Linked DNA regions of Tamandua tetradactyla. The protein of the gene in region 1 purifies or fractionates together with the protein of each later gene. This does not show direct contact. Links are inferred from orthologs where the notes say so. Each region holds a gene or a part of one and is shown in the gene's direction. Other genes may lie near its edges.

What was found.
Region 2: the proteins of RAD18 (region 1) and SHPRH purify together in Homo sapiens (affinity purification with western blotting; 3 studies listed by BioGRID and IntAct, with this or other methods). This does not show direct contact. The link is inferred for Tamandua tetradactyla from reciprocal best matches to the Homo sapiens genes RAD18 and SHPRH.

The regions. Positions count from the first base shown.
Region 1 is NC_135335.1:40,212,167-40,219,297, forward strand, and holds the start of RAD18 (E3 ubiquitin-protein ligase RAD18), read left to right. Parts: upstream 1-4,026; 5' UTR 4,027-4,105; coding exon 4,106-4,156; intron 4,157-7,131. UniProt on the Homo sapiens protein: E3 ubiquitin-protein ligase involved in postreplication repair of UV-damaged DNA. Postreplication repair functions in gap-filling of a daughter strand on replication of damaged DNA.
Region 2 is NC_135351.1:44,907,680-44,915,423, reverse strand, and holds the start of SHPRH (E3 ubiquitin-protein ligase SHPRH), read left to right. Parts: upstream 1-4,736; 5' UTR 4,737-4,976; intron 4,977-7,744. UniProt on the Homo sapiens protein: E3 ubiquitin-protein ligase involved in DNA repair.

The DNA.
Region 1 (7,131 bases):
TGGGGCAAATAATATTCTCCCCCATATTACACATGAGAAAATTGAGGCACAGAGAGGTTCAATAACTTGCCCAAGTTAACACGGATTAAAATCTAAACCCTTAACCAAGGCTTAGAACTCCCCACCCTCAGGTCTTTGAGTGGCTGCCTCTGTCTTATCTGTTCGGTTTCAGTACAAATGTCACCTCCTCGGAGAGTACTTCCTTGGTTATTCGATTTAAAGTACATCCTCCTCTTTCATTGCTTTACATCACTTGTTGTTTTATGAAATTATCTTATTTATTCACTTTCCTACATACTTGCTTATATCTGGCACAGGATGTGTAGTAGCTCAACAAACATTTGCTAAGATAAATGGAGGGAGAGAGGGAAAGATAGGGTTCCCTGAGCTCCTTCAATAGCACCCCCATTCCACAATGAGAATGAGAACAGTGTCGTAGGAGAAGTGGGAATGGAGGGCGGAAGGAAGGGTGATGAAGAGAGAGCTTGGAAAGGCACTAAGAGGATGGAACCTGCCAAGGTGCAATCAGGCCAGACCCCACACTCATCCAGGAGAGTGCTTCCCTGATTAGGGTTGCCAGACTGAGCAAATAAAAATACAAGGAGATATTTTTTTTTAGCCTTTTTTTGGGGGGAAGAGTGCATGGTTCGGAAATCAAACCCGGGTCTCCCGCATGGAAGGTGGGTATTCTAACCACTGAACTACCCGTTCACCCTGGGAGATTTTAAAAAATATACAAATATTAATCCCACGAATTATTTGGGACATTCTTATACTAGAAAAAAAATGATCTGGTTGCTTATCAGGAATTGTAATTTACCTGGGTGTTATGTATTTTACCTGGCAGCCCTATCCCTGATGCTCACTGTGTGCTAAGTTCCATGGGAGATTCCACTGAGCACTCACCTGCTTTTTTTTTTTATATATACGGAACATTTTGTTTCTAACTCCTGAATAAGTAAGTGCAACCTCTTTATTGTTCTAACTGAAAAAGAAAGTCTGTGGAAACAGAAGCTTGTTACAGGAGAATGGATCCCGGGAGTGGATAATTGCCCAGTGAGGAGAGGTTAAGACAAGTGCCTTGTGCTGAGCTCAAAGAAGTCTTTCAGAACCTTCTTATTCCTTCTCCGGTGGAGAGGGTTATCTATCTATCACTCTGGGGCAGCTGAAGAGGGCAGGAAGACAGTGGCTCAGTCTGGGAGGAAAAGATTTATGGGACTGTGGGCATATCTGGTGAATCGTTCATTCATTCCGACTGTCCAAGCAGCCGTGGCAGGAATGCTCAGATGAATGACACCAGGCACAGTTCTGGAGGCTCTTTGGAAGTCAGAGCAGGGAAGATGGCTTTGGAAATCATTACCACCAAGTGACGCATGCTTCCAAATCGGTTTTCATGGCTCGATGGAAAGAGTGCATGTCTTCCTCCTTACCTGTTCTTTCTTTCTCTCTCTCTCTCTCTCTCTCTCTCTCTCTCTCTCTCTCTCTCTCTCGCCTTTCTTGCCTTCTTCTATCCTTTTCTATCCTTCCCTCTCACCTGTCCTCCTACCTTTTCCCATCTCTTCTCTCTCTTCTCTCTCCCTCTCTCACCTTCTGCAACTTCTCTCTCCAAACCCACCCCACTACCCGCTGTATCCCAAACCAGCCAACATCTTTCCACGCAGCCTAGAGTTCATTTGCATGCTCTTTTCCGATTGGCTGAGACAAATTCACTGCCACACCTCCTCATCCCCTGCCCCCTCCAGGTTCCTTCCTGTTGGAGCCCCAGGAGGTCCAAGGTCTTGGGATCCCCAGGCTCAGTCCTGCCCTGCAGCCCTGTCTACTCAGTTATTCTTCAATCAAGTGTCCATTCTGGTTTGAGATTAAAAGAGCTAGGTTCAAGGCTGGGCTCTGCCACTGACGAAGCTGTGTGATCTTGAATGATTCCCTTTGCCTCTCTGAGACTCAGTTCCTAGGTCTATAATATGGAAATAATCCTCATGAAGAAGTCCTTATGAGAATATTTTTGTAATGGTTAATGTGAACCCCCACGTCAGACTGCCTGGGTTCAAATCTCTCCTCTTCCACTCCCCAGAAGGGTGTCCTGGTTACCTCCATTTCCTCATTTTGTTGGAGAGAGTCTTAAATGTCAGTATATTTAAAAACACTTAAAATAGCTTCTTGCCTACAGGGCCTAATAATGTCAACTTTATTGTAATGCATGTTAAAGTCTTTTGTCCAAATGCTGCTGATGACATTATCATTGCCCCATGAACATTTGGAGGTAGGCTGTTAAAAACTCACTGGAGTATAGGTTCCTTATGAAGAAAGCCCAAAGGAGTGAAGCCAAGGTTTATCCTTTTGAGCCTCTATATTCTGGACTGTAAAATGGCAATAACAACCTCACCTCTGCCTACTCCACAGGAAAGTAGTAGAGTCTGGCCATGGTAAGCTCTTAAAATGTATTTGTTGAAAGAAGGAATGCATGGACCACATGAGGTGACAGTGGCAAGCTGCAGAGTCTTGTCCTTAGCTCGGCCCTGAACGATGTGTCTGTGCTGATTTGCTATCCTCCAGGCATGACGCAACGGAGGCCTAACTAAGGTAGTGTATGAAGGCAGAGCTGAGCACGCTGATGATGCTAAGTTGGTGAGCTGGTCAGGGCTTTGCATTTGGATAAAGGTGCTCTCAAACACTATTATGAGAGTGTAAATATATTAGTGTAGTCTTTTTGGACAATCATTTAGCAGTAGCTATCACAATTTTAAAAGAACACACAATTGTTCTACTAGTTCTATTTTTAGAAAACCATCCCCCAGATAGCTTTCCCCAAGTGTGCCAAGATTATATAGAGGAATGCATTCATTGCAGTTCTTTGTAGCAGTGAAAAACTGGAAACAACCTAAATGTCCCTCAATATAAGAGTAGTTAGGTAAATTTTGGTGCGTTGATATTATGGACTATGCAACCATTAAAAAGAATGAGGCAAATCTATATGTACTAACATGGAGAAATCGCAAGATGCATGATGAAGTAAACAAGTTAACAGAGTTATGCTTTTAATCTAACATTTGTTAGGGAGAGTATCAATGTTTGTACCTGCATAGGAGATATCTGGAGGGCTATATGCCAACTTTTAGTAGGGTTATCTTTTAAGAGAAGGAAGAACTTCTAAATCAAAATTTTGATTTGAATGGAAGAGCGAGCCCCACCTTCAAAGTTCAGAGGTCAGATTTGGAGTCGTCATCCCAAATCTGTGTGTGACTCAAGGAAACTTCCGTTGTTCTTTTGAACTGTAGCTCTGTCTTGTGTGAACTGATAATGATAACACGACCTTCCAGTGCTGTGATAGCGGTGAAAAGAAATAATGGATATGAAAACCCCTGAGCAGACATAGATTCTCATAGCTATCACGGAGAACGACCCGAAGCAAGAGGGATGAGCTTAGCCCTTGAAAGATTTGGGAAGGCTTGGATTTGGCTTATTACGGTTTCTAGAAGCCCTTTCCCAGCGTTCAATGGACATTCATTTATCAAGGCTCTGGGACTCTGTGCTTTTTTTTTTTTTGAATTTTAAAAATTTTAATACAGTTCAAATCAGCATGTCTCGTTCATTTCAACTCCTTCACCGCCAAACCTGGGGGCAGGGATTGCTTCAGTTTCTCTGCCTTCTCTTTGTCTGTGATGACCAAGGTATAAGGGTACCTGCTGCATCGAACTTTAAATTTCACATTATCCTTATTTTTCTTGATCTTGACAGATTTGGCATCTTTTCGCCTGGCTGTGAGCAGGAAGTCCTTGATTTCCTCAATTTTCCGAGGCATGGTGACGAGGCGCGCAGGAAGGCGGGCGGGACCGGCACAGCCCAAGATAAGAAGCAAGAACCGGATTCTGTGCTTTTAAACGACTCACCTTTTTCTATCATAAGCTACCAAATGAGCCTGGCGCATGCGCAGTGCGAGTACCTTGAACTGCCCTCCGCCCACGTACTACAACTCCCGGCAGGCTCCGCGCACCCCTCAGGCGTGTCGCAGGCTGATGACGTAGCGCAGTAGCGCGGGGAATTTCGAGCGGTAGTGCATCGCCGGAGGCCCTTGGGCGGCTGGCCCCCACACTCCTCTGGAGCTACCATGGACAGCTTGGCCGAGCCCCGGTGGCCTTCGGGCCTGGCAGTTATGAAGGTAGATGCTCGGAGAGGGAGGAAGCGCCCGGGGGTCAGCAGGAGGCCGGGTCCGCCTTGAGGGGAAAGGAGGAGGCGGCAAGCCCCGCTTGGGTTCCCCGCCCTGCCCGCCTCTTATTGCCCGCGAACCCTAAGGCCCCAGTTTCTACTGAGAAGCGGCGGGGAAAGGCCTCGGTTCCTTACGGTGAACTGAGGTCGGCCGTCGTATGGAACTGGGTATTTTGCGGTTCTTCCTCAACAGTAACAGTAACATCGAGTAAGATACTCTGAACAGTGGCGATGACAGTGACAGCTTACGCTTTTTGAGGGCTTACTCTGTGCCAAGCACTATTTAAGAGCTAGCAATACGTTAATTGAGAATTCCCAGAGTGACACCGGGCATGCTTTTCAATGGGCACTACACCAAATAGCATATATTTAATCACTGGCGAAGCAGGTAGTCTCCTTTGCACTCTGATTTCTTCTGATAATTCTCAGGAGGCTTAGTGCTGGTTTGTTCTAACGTCTCCTAACTCCTATCTAACAATTGTTCATCTTTCTTCTGTTTTAAAGAGATCAGGACTCAGGCTCAGCTCCAGCCTTTAACAAATCACTTTTATTTCGTTGGTTGCATTTCCTTTTTTAGTTGTTCTATGGTTATATCTCTAGGAAAGACCATCTTTTTGCTCCTGTTCATTAATTTTCTCATTTATATTATGGAAATTATGGTGTCTCCCCCACTGACTGGTGAAGCTGACTTTGAGGGTCAAGTGAAGGGACTTGGGAAAGGCTAAAGTAAGTAAAAAGTTGTGTTCTTCCTGCTGTCAGCAGAAACATTTGCAGTGTCTGGGGACTTGAGATATCATCACTGTACAGATGGTGAAGACCTGATGTTGTGGAAGGATCTAGGAAAGTTGTTTTGAAGTTGTAGTGGCCTTAGCACCAAGATCCACTGGAGAAGGGCATAGATTTTGAGTTCCAATTGTCTGGTTAAATCTGGACTCTCCCTTATATTATTAACTAGGTGAGCTTGAGTTATTTAACCTCTCTGAGCCTCAGTTTCTTCAAGTATAAACTGGAGACAAAAATAGCCATTAAAAGAGTTGAGAAATGTGGGTAAGGATCCTATCTAGTTTGTTCACTGTACTTTTAACACAGTGCCTGGCCCATGGTGGGTGCTCAACAGTTATTTGTTGACTGCTCGAAGGTGTCTAGTATGTACTTGTGCTAAGCATTCAGTTAATATATCTTTATTATTATTATGAGTGCTTAACGTGTGTTCTATGTCTTTCCTTCTTTCCCCCTTTTATTTGTTGTAAAGATTGAATTAGAGAAGTGAGCGTTCTGTAACCTGTAACTCTACCTGCTTTGTAGATTTGAACATATTTTATGCTTTCTCACAACTCCACATTATTCTTTACAGGTAGGTTTCTTGTCTTCTCTGGCTTTTCACAGCAAGAATATAGAGTTTAGCAGCAGAGTGTTCAATTATGGGCTTGACTGAGCTCAAATTTAGCTCTCATTAGAATCATGGAATCTTAAGCCAGTCCCCTCCAGTATTTTAATTCCTATTATAATGTATCTGCCAATTTCTCATCTGATTTTTGCTTGAACTCCTCCAGGGGCAAAAAACTAGTTGCTCCCAGAGGCAGCCCTGATCGTTTGAAGTTCTTTCTTATATTAAATAGAAATCTGACTCTGAACCCATGATTCCTAACCTAACCTGGAATCTGTGAAAAGAATTTGATATCTGGAAATACTTCTAAAATTCTTGTGCATAGATATATTTCTTTCCTAGGAGAGAGTCCATAATTTTCAAAGGAATCTGCGATCCTCCCCCCCAAACTTAAGAACCTTTTTGCTTGAATTATTAAGTCATTTTCACCTGATTCCTACTTTCTCTTTCTTCTTTCTCTAAGCTAAAGAAATCCTGGGACATCCACTGACCACTCTCTGTTTAGGCTTTTTTTTTCTTGCAGCACATATGATATACATGCTCCTGTCTAGAAGTGGCATGATTGGACATTTGTACAAAAATACCACAGCTCCTCTGATGTGTTGTCACCGTCTACACATCTTGTTTGGCAGTTCTGTCAGAACCGGTCCTCCAGAAGAGGATGGTCATGTAGAATAAAGATTCACAGACTAGATGCTGGACTCTTTCTTCTGGTCCTGCCTCTACTCTTAATATGAAGAGCAGTAAGCCTCTAGCTTTTTGCGTCTGTGGCAGCTTGGCATGCATAAGAATGGAAGATTTAGGCATTTTTATGTTTATTTCTCTGATTTTACTGTAAGAAAAATTTACTGTTATTGACAGATTATCAATGTAACATGTGTACTTAGTAGAAAAAATTTAAAATTCAGAGAAAGGTAAAGAAGAAAATGGAATTTACTCATAATCCCACCATCCAGAGATAACCACTGTTAAATGTTTTGTCTTACTTCCCTTCAGTTTTTCTTGTGTGTGCTTATGTACACAGATGCACCAATGTGCATTTAAAATTATGAATCACTTTGGAGCCAGTTCCTTGGGCTTTATCCAACCACTTATTAGTTCATCTGTAATACTAGGAAACTGAAACAACAAACTTCATTTATAGAGATAAATGACAGTATTATTATTTTGCATTATTGTGGTCAATTTTTTTCTCTGCTTTTGTTTGTTTCCATTAAAGTGTGAACATTTTCATATGGCAATAATTATTCTTTGAAAGCATGATTTTTTAAATGGATATCTAGTGTTTCATCATTTAGATTATTAGTATCAGGGTGCTTTTGTTTATCTTTTTAAAATCTTAAGTAGTACACTTACATGATTCAAAAAATATATAAAATAAAAAGTAAAAGTAAAAGTCTTCCTCTCACTCATGTCTAGTTCCCACTCCCCCACCATTATTTCTTTCATGTTTTTTTTTAAGAATTTCTTTTTATAGATACAAAATAAAAATAGAATGCATTCTTATTCCTCTGCCCCCTTTTTAAACAAAAGGTACTAAT
Region 2 (7,744 bases), on another chromosome or scaffold:
AAACAGTGCTTGAACGTGGGGCACTGGGAAAGAGGAGATCTGAGAGTCTAGTCGGTGCTAAACAACAAAGATAGCAGAATTTGTGTCCTTGTTCCCATCCAGATTCTCCCCTCCTGTCCCAACCATTACTTTTCTCTTGATGGCATATTTTTTAAAACTAATTTTGCCAATATAGACTCAGGACACTAAGGAATAGGAACATTATGGGGAAATCTACTGAAGCTTATGACTCCAAGTCACATTTATTATGCAGTTTTGAGACATGCAAGTAAACTATTCTCTGAATATTACAAGGGCCACTGTTACATGCCAGTTTTAAGTACGAAAGTAGTGCTATAACACTTTCCTGCCAGGGCTTTAAAGGAGAAATAGACTTGAAGAAGTGATTGGTCTCCTCAGTATCTGTATCTTCTCCTAATGTGGCCGACATAGGACTGTGGGTCCTATGAAGCCAGCTCAGACCACCCTCAGCTGGGGACACCCTGCCTTTATCTCCTCCCTCATAACAAAAACTACTCTCCACCCCCAAAGAAAGACCAAGTGTCAAATGCATGGCTGTCTCACGACCGTACCAATGGCAGCACTCATGTTCATCAGGGCCCAATAACGACCGTGCAAACTCAGTCTGTAAGGGATCATTGTGGTTTTATGATGCCAAGGAAATGACCCTTCCCCAGCACTGACCACTTGTGGACTCTCAGAGACTTCGAATGGATAGTCACATGTATCAGACAGATGCCTCCAAATTTTAAGTTAATTCAAAGGTCTTTGGAAAAACATGGACTGTCTTAAAAATATTAATTTTGAGATATTAATCTTAAAAAATCAGTCATCATTGCAAACATCTTTGAACTAATATCTTAAGACATTCCAGGTATTTTATCAATGCCGAAAAGTTTCCCAAAGTATCATCTACAGTATGACTACTCAATGAAGAGTTTTGTCAAACAATATTGTGTTTGCTAAAGCCTATATTTGTGTTTTATTTTCCATTTATTTTCATGATTGATGTTGGCATTTTTAAGGTAATAAATGGGTTTCCAGGAATGGAGGCCTAGCTTTAAACACTGAGGATACAGGAAAAAAGTGATTTCTATGAGCTTGATTTTTAACCATCCAGGAACCAATTAGGTCATATGTTGAGGACCACCTGCTCAAGTGAGGCTCAAACATCTGTCCTTGAATTGGTTTCATAACAATTACCTGAGATGGTTGGAATTCAAAAAAAAAAAAAATTTCCCAGGAGCTAGCAGTCAAGGTGGAAGCATTATGACATATGGACGTATGCTACTACTGCACATTTGTACCTAAGGGCCCAGCAAGGAGTTCAGGACTTTCTAGAATAATTTTGCCTTTGTCACAAGAATTGACATCACCAACATGGCCATGCTGAGTCTGAATCTGGCATCAACCTTCTCGTGGACAGTCCTTCATTCCTTGGTAAGCATAGTTTTATGTTTACACTTATCAATAAGCTGCCTTGAGGTTTTAGAGTCATTTTGAAAGTGTTACATCACTACTTTTGTACTTAAAAATAGCATACAGCGTGGCCCCCAAAATATTTAAAGAACGTTTTATTCATAGATCTTGAAACTGCATGATAAATGTTTGAGTTAGAAGCATCAATAGATTTACCCACAATATCCCTATTCGTTAATGTCTTGAGTCTATATTGACAAAATTAGTTAGAAAAAAATATGATATCGGGGAAAAAGTATGGTTGGGGAAAGGAAGGGAGGGCCTGGGATGGGTCCAAGGATGCAGATTATGCTATTTGTTGCTTATGACTGATCTTTTCTTTCCTTGCAGACGCAGATTCAAGTTTCTCCTTGCTTTCACCAGATTTACAAGCATTGCTTTATTAACACCCAAAACAGATACCTAGGAAGGAACAGTAAATTCTCTGCTTATGTCATTAGTTCACATCCAATGTGGCATTCTGTATACACATTACACATTTTTGCCTTAGAAATTATGAGAGGCAGAAGGGACACAGCTTGAGTTTTCAGTTTGCAGGTTGAGCTTGCAGCAGGGGATTTCTAAATAAATCTGACCTGCAAATCACCAAGGAAGAATACAATTGGAAGCCGACAGTGAGACCCACCCAGGGCTAGCCTGGAGCAAAGCTGTGATGTTCAGAACAGGAGGATTTGTTCTTAGGTCACACACCTCCTGCTCTACAATTGCACCTGCTCCCGCAAAGCATGCCTGATGCCCTAACACCTTTTTTTTTTTTGGCCTGACACCACTCTTTCACCAGTTGATCACCTTCCCTGCAGGCACCAATTTTTCAAAACCTTATTTTGACCTCCCTTCCCATTAGCACTGCACACATTTTATCAGGGGCTCTGGACACAGCAGTTCATCTCGGAACAGCGACTTTGACCTGACACTTTCATTTGTTGGGCAGGAGGGAAAGCAGTCCCAAGACAGGCTGGTCATCAGTGACACTGGATGGCCACCTGCCTCACTTGTAGAGAGCAGGGAATAAGCATATATGTAATAAAATTTTCAAGCAATTTATTGATGATCTTCCTATTGAGCAGAACACATGGCTGGGACTGAATGTGTCACCAAATAATTGCACACCTCTTACCTTCTTCTTGCTCATGCCAACCTAGAAAGATAAACGACTAGATTATTTATCTTGATTTGAGAGGCAGCACAATTTAGTATTAAGAGGCAATGAACAGCCTAGACAGGGGAGTCAAGGTGAGATGTAGGGCCCGCTGTTTTCTTAACTGTGACCAAATCATCAAATTTCTCTGTGCTTCAAATTCTTCTGTAAAATGGAAATTTAAAATGTCCCATTTAGTGTTCTAAGAATCACACGGGAAAGGAACTATGAAAGGGCTTTGCAAACAGAAATCCATTAGTTATCACCTGCTTCTGCCTCCAAGATGAATTCATTTTGCACTAACCCATCTACTCCCTCTCCAGAACAACTTACAACATCCATTTGTAAAACAGATGAATTGAACCTGGGGGTGGTGAGAATAAAATGTACTGTCCTCAAGAGACTGGAGCAATAGTTTTGGCCTAGTGAAACCACGCAGAACGCAAGGGGACTGACCACCTACACTGGTCTGAAACTGTTGTGTATGCCAGAAAAGTCATATTCTTTAGACCTCATTCAATATTATTGGGTGGGATCTTTTTATTGTTTCTTTGGCTATGTGACCCACCCATTTGTGGGTGGTACCTTTTGATTAGGTGGTTTCCATAGACATGTGTCTCACTCATTCAAGGTGGGGTTAAGAGTCCTTTAAGAGGGAACCATTTTGGAAAAAGCAGCAGAGTCCAGAGTTAGAGACCTTTGGAAATGCAAAAGGAAAACGCCCCTGGGGAATCCTTATTAAATGAGAGGCCAGGAGAGAAAGTTAGCAGATGTTGCCCTTTGCCTTTCCAGCTGACAGAGGTGCTCTGGACGGTATGAGCCTTTCTAGAGTGGAGGTAACTTCTTCTTAGTGCCTTAAAAAGGACATTTTCACTGCCTTACAACTGTAAACTTGCAACTTAATAAATTCCCTTTTAAAAAGCCATTCCATTTCTGTTATACAGCCTCCTGGCAGCTTTAAGAAAGTAAAACACCACCCTACGTTTATACTTTCAAGAAGTTGTTGAACTGTATGAACAGTGAAGGGTTCACCGAGATGGGTTTGCTTCCAATCAACTGCTCCCTGGCTGCTGAATGCCATGATCGCCAGCATCTTTCCGTGCATGAACCCAGCGGTTCGCCAGGGTGAACAGCATGTCTGGCAGCTGGAGAGTGCCGAGGGAGCCAGCAGGCACGCTGGAAAAGCATTTTTTGAAATCAGGTCTGGTGATTTTAATACTGAGACATTACTCCACAGAGGATATTTTCAAAGGATTCAACGTATCATTAGACGATCGCAAAGGGGAGATTTGTTTCGTCTTGCCCACCGCATGCTCTGTAGAATTTCATCTCCATCGGATGGTCCTTTGGATTCCTGCACAGGATTACGGAGCTGTGTCTAGACTATCTTAGAAATGAGCAAAGATGAAATGATGCACTGCTTAATATTCCTGCCTGGCCAAACTGTGAGCCCAATTCTCTGCTCCCGTAGTGGGAACTGATATAAAAACGATAAAATAAATAAATAAAAATAACCTTCTACAGCACAATATATCCGTTTAAATACTGCGGTTAAATCACATTTCCAGGGGAAAAAAGGCTCCACGTGGCTTCTGCTTGCACAGGGACCTGCTCTCCCGGGAGAAGGACTCTGCTTCCTGGGGGGCCTGGGGGTGGGATGGGACGGCCCCGGGGAGACCCCAGGGAGCCCCGGAGCGCCCTAGGCGAGCCCTGCTTGAACTTTGCACGAGCCTCACCGACTTTTCGGGCGGGGTGAGTCCACGCCCCAGCGATGGGAGCGGCCCGAGCTCGCCCAGGGACACAGGGGTGGACACCGCTTCCGGCCGGGCCCCCGCGTGCGTCGGCGGGACGTCCCGAGAGGCGGGGCCGGTGGACAGAGCGCCCCTGCGTCCGAGCGGCGGCTCCTCCCTCCTCATTAAGGCCATCAACCGCACGCCGTCGCTCCGCGCCCCGCCACGCCCACCTGCGCGGAGGCCCCGCCTATACCCGCCCCGAGCCGGCTCCTCGGCTCCTTCCAATCCGCTACTCCCAATGGCGTGGCCCGGTGCTATCGCGAGACCTCGGCAGTATTCCGAGAGTGTGGCTGGCCATGCGCACTTGCGCAGAAGCGGCTCCTGAGGCCACTGAGGGAGGAAGAAGGTGTGGCGTCCGACGTGCGCGTCCACCTGACCCGGCGCTCCCGCGCGCGCCCAGCAGCCGGAGCTGGGGTTTCCGGGACCCCCGGGCCCTGGCCCGAAGCTTCACAAGCGTGCCCATCCGGCGGACATCAGGGGTCGGCGAGCGCGAGCCCGGGGCCCGCGGCGCCTCGGAGGGCCCGGCCTGGTGCGGTGAGGCCTGAGCGGCTTGGAGCATCCGCTAGGTAGGCGCTGGGGTGACGGGGTCAGGGGTCAGAGGTCGGGGGAGGCCGGGAGGAGGCCAGGACTGGGACTCGGGTTGTCCCTGGCCGGGGAAGCCACAGGGAGGGGAGGGCGTCGCCGCGCGAGCTCTCACCCGTCCCGATCGCGGGGGCGCGGGCCCTGGGAGGGAAAGCGGGTCGCGGGGGGGGGGCCGTGCTCCTTCCCGTCCTGCCCGGGACGCCGGGCCGTGCTGCTCGCCGGGTTAGGGAGCAGCTGCGAGGAGCCGAGCACGAGCGCTCCCGCGAGGCGGAACCGGCCTGCGAGGTAGCGAGGCCGCCCGCCGGCACCGGGTGCTGCACCCCAAAGCCAGAGCCGGCGGGGTGGCCCCGAGGCACGGCCCAGTGCGGAGGGACGCGGCCTCCTCCGGTTTTCGCCGTCCTTAAAGAGCATCCCTCAAGCCCGCGCCCTCCCAAGTGACCGCACCGTCCGGCAGGTGGGAGGCCCAGATGTTGGCTGTTTTCCCACGTGTGCTCAACTTGAAACTTTAGCTGAAAAAGATAAAACCTTTGTAAGTCATTGCAGCAATCTTTATTCCAGTGGATGATGGCAGGAGTGACAGAACTCCATGCATAGAAATGATTCATAAAACCTGGATTGTCACCAAACAGACGATTTGATTTTGACATGACTGAGTTGGACGCAGGGAAGAGGTGAGGGGCCTGGCTCGGTGTGCCTGTGCTGTGACCTGGGGTGGGACCCAGTGCCAGCACCCTGGGGTGGGACCCCGTGCCGGAACCCCAGACCCTGTGCCAGCACCCTGGGGTGGGACCCTATGCCAGCACCCCGGGGGTGAGACCCCGTGCCAGGACCCTGTGCCAGCACCCTGGAGTAGGACCCTGTGCCGGGACCCTGTGCCAGCACCCTGGGGTGGGACCCCATGCCGGGACCCTGTGCCAGCACCCTGGAGTAGGACCCCGTGCCAGCACCCTGGGGTGGGACCCCCTGCCGGGGCCCTATGCCAGCACCTGGGGGTGAGACCCCCTGCCGGGGCCCTATGCCAGCACCTGGGGTGAGACCCCATGCCGGGACCCTGTGCCAGCACCCTGGAGTAGGACCCCGTGCCAGCACCCTGGGATGAGACCCCATGCTGGGACCCTGTGCCAGCACCTTGGAGTAGGACCCCGTGCTGGGACCCCATGCCAGCACCCTGGAGTAGGACCCCGTGCCAGCACCCTGTGCCAGCACCCTGGAGTAGAACCCCGTGCCGGGACCCTGTGCCAGCACCTTGGAGTAGGACCCCGTGCTGGGACCCCATGCCAGCACCCTGGAGTAGGACCCCGTGCCAGCACCCTGTGCCAGCACCCTGGAGTAGAACCCCGTGCCGGGACCCTGTGCCAGCACCTTGGAGTAGGACCCCGTGCCGGGACCCCGTGCCAGCACCCTGGGGTGAGACCCCATGCCGGGACTCTGTGCCAGCACCTTGGAGTAGGACCCCGTGCTGGGACCCCATGCCAGCACCCTGGGGTGGGACCCTGTGCTGGAACCCTACGCCCCTGGAGCAGGGATGGAGCATAGAATGCCTGGGACCAGTGAGCTTACAGGCTGCAGAATAGAATGCTTTACTTGTGAAAATAGTATTACATAGCCCTCTTTTTGCCAGCCTGAAAGAATTGTATTTATAGTATTATCTAACAAATCAGGTATGAAGAACTAGGCCAGAAATATTTGGGGGAACAGAACCTTCTGGTATAAAAGCTTGTGGTGAGGGCCTGTATTTCAGGGTTCAGTGGTGAACTTGCTGTCACCCGGCTGGAGTTGTCTGCTGTGTGCTGCCCCATGCATTTCTCCTGTGTGGCCTCGTGGAAACAGTGTGGCAGGCGCCGCTAATGCCCTTGACAGACCAGCCCCGGCAGGCAGCACTTGTGTGATTCAGGATGTTTATGTCTGTTTAACAAGAGATAATACTTCGGAATTTAAGTTTAATTGGTGTCCATTTGTTGCATTGTCTTGGTAACATTTTATTTATTCTTCTGGCAGTCTGTCTTTGTTTTCTGTGAAACAAAGATACAGGTGAGTTAGTTCTCTGTCTCACTTTGGGCCAGTTACAGGAAGGAATGGTTTCACATCACCTGCAGTCTTCCAGAGTGTGGCTGAGGGAGGCTCCCCCAGAAGAAATGTGAGCACAGTCTTGCTGGGGCATTGGCTGGGAAGTGAGAGGTCTTCATTTGCCTCAATCAAGTGCCATTCGTCAGCTGGCATGGCCCTGGCGTTGGGGCACCACTCCCAGTGCCGTTCCCGCCTGGCCCCCAAGTGGGCCAGTGCCCACAGCTCTGGGGCCCAGAAGGAGGGCCCCGACACAGCTCCCCTGGTCTGGAGGGCTTTCCAGGGAAGACCAGGGCAGCAATCGGCAGAAAAGAGCGAAGGGGCATTTCAGGCAGAAGGCATCCTGCGTTTACATGCAGAGGGTAAGCGTGTGGCCCATGAACAGAGTTGCACATGCCACATGCACCTGACGTTCAAGGTGATGTTCTCAGGGTGTGGTTCATGAGACATGAGGAAAAGTAGGAGAAAGATGCGGAAGGTGATTCGAGATAGAGAATTCTCCAGGACTCAGCCTATTAGTGCCAGTTAACATCACAGTTACAAGCCACTTTGTCCAAGTAATATCTTCTTTAGTTCAAGAGGTTGTCCCTGGAGACTTCCTGGAAGATGGCGGCTTAGTAAGACGCGCGGATCTTAGTTTCTTCTCCAGGACACCTACTAGAGGAGTAGAAACGATACAGAAAGCGCC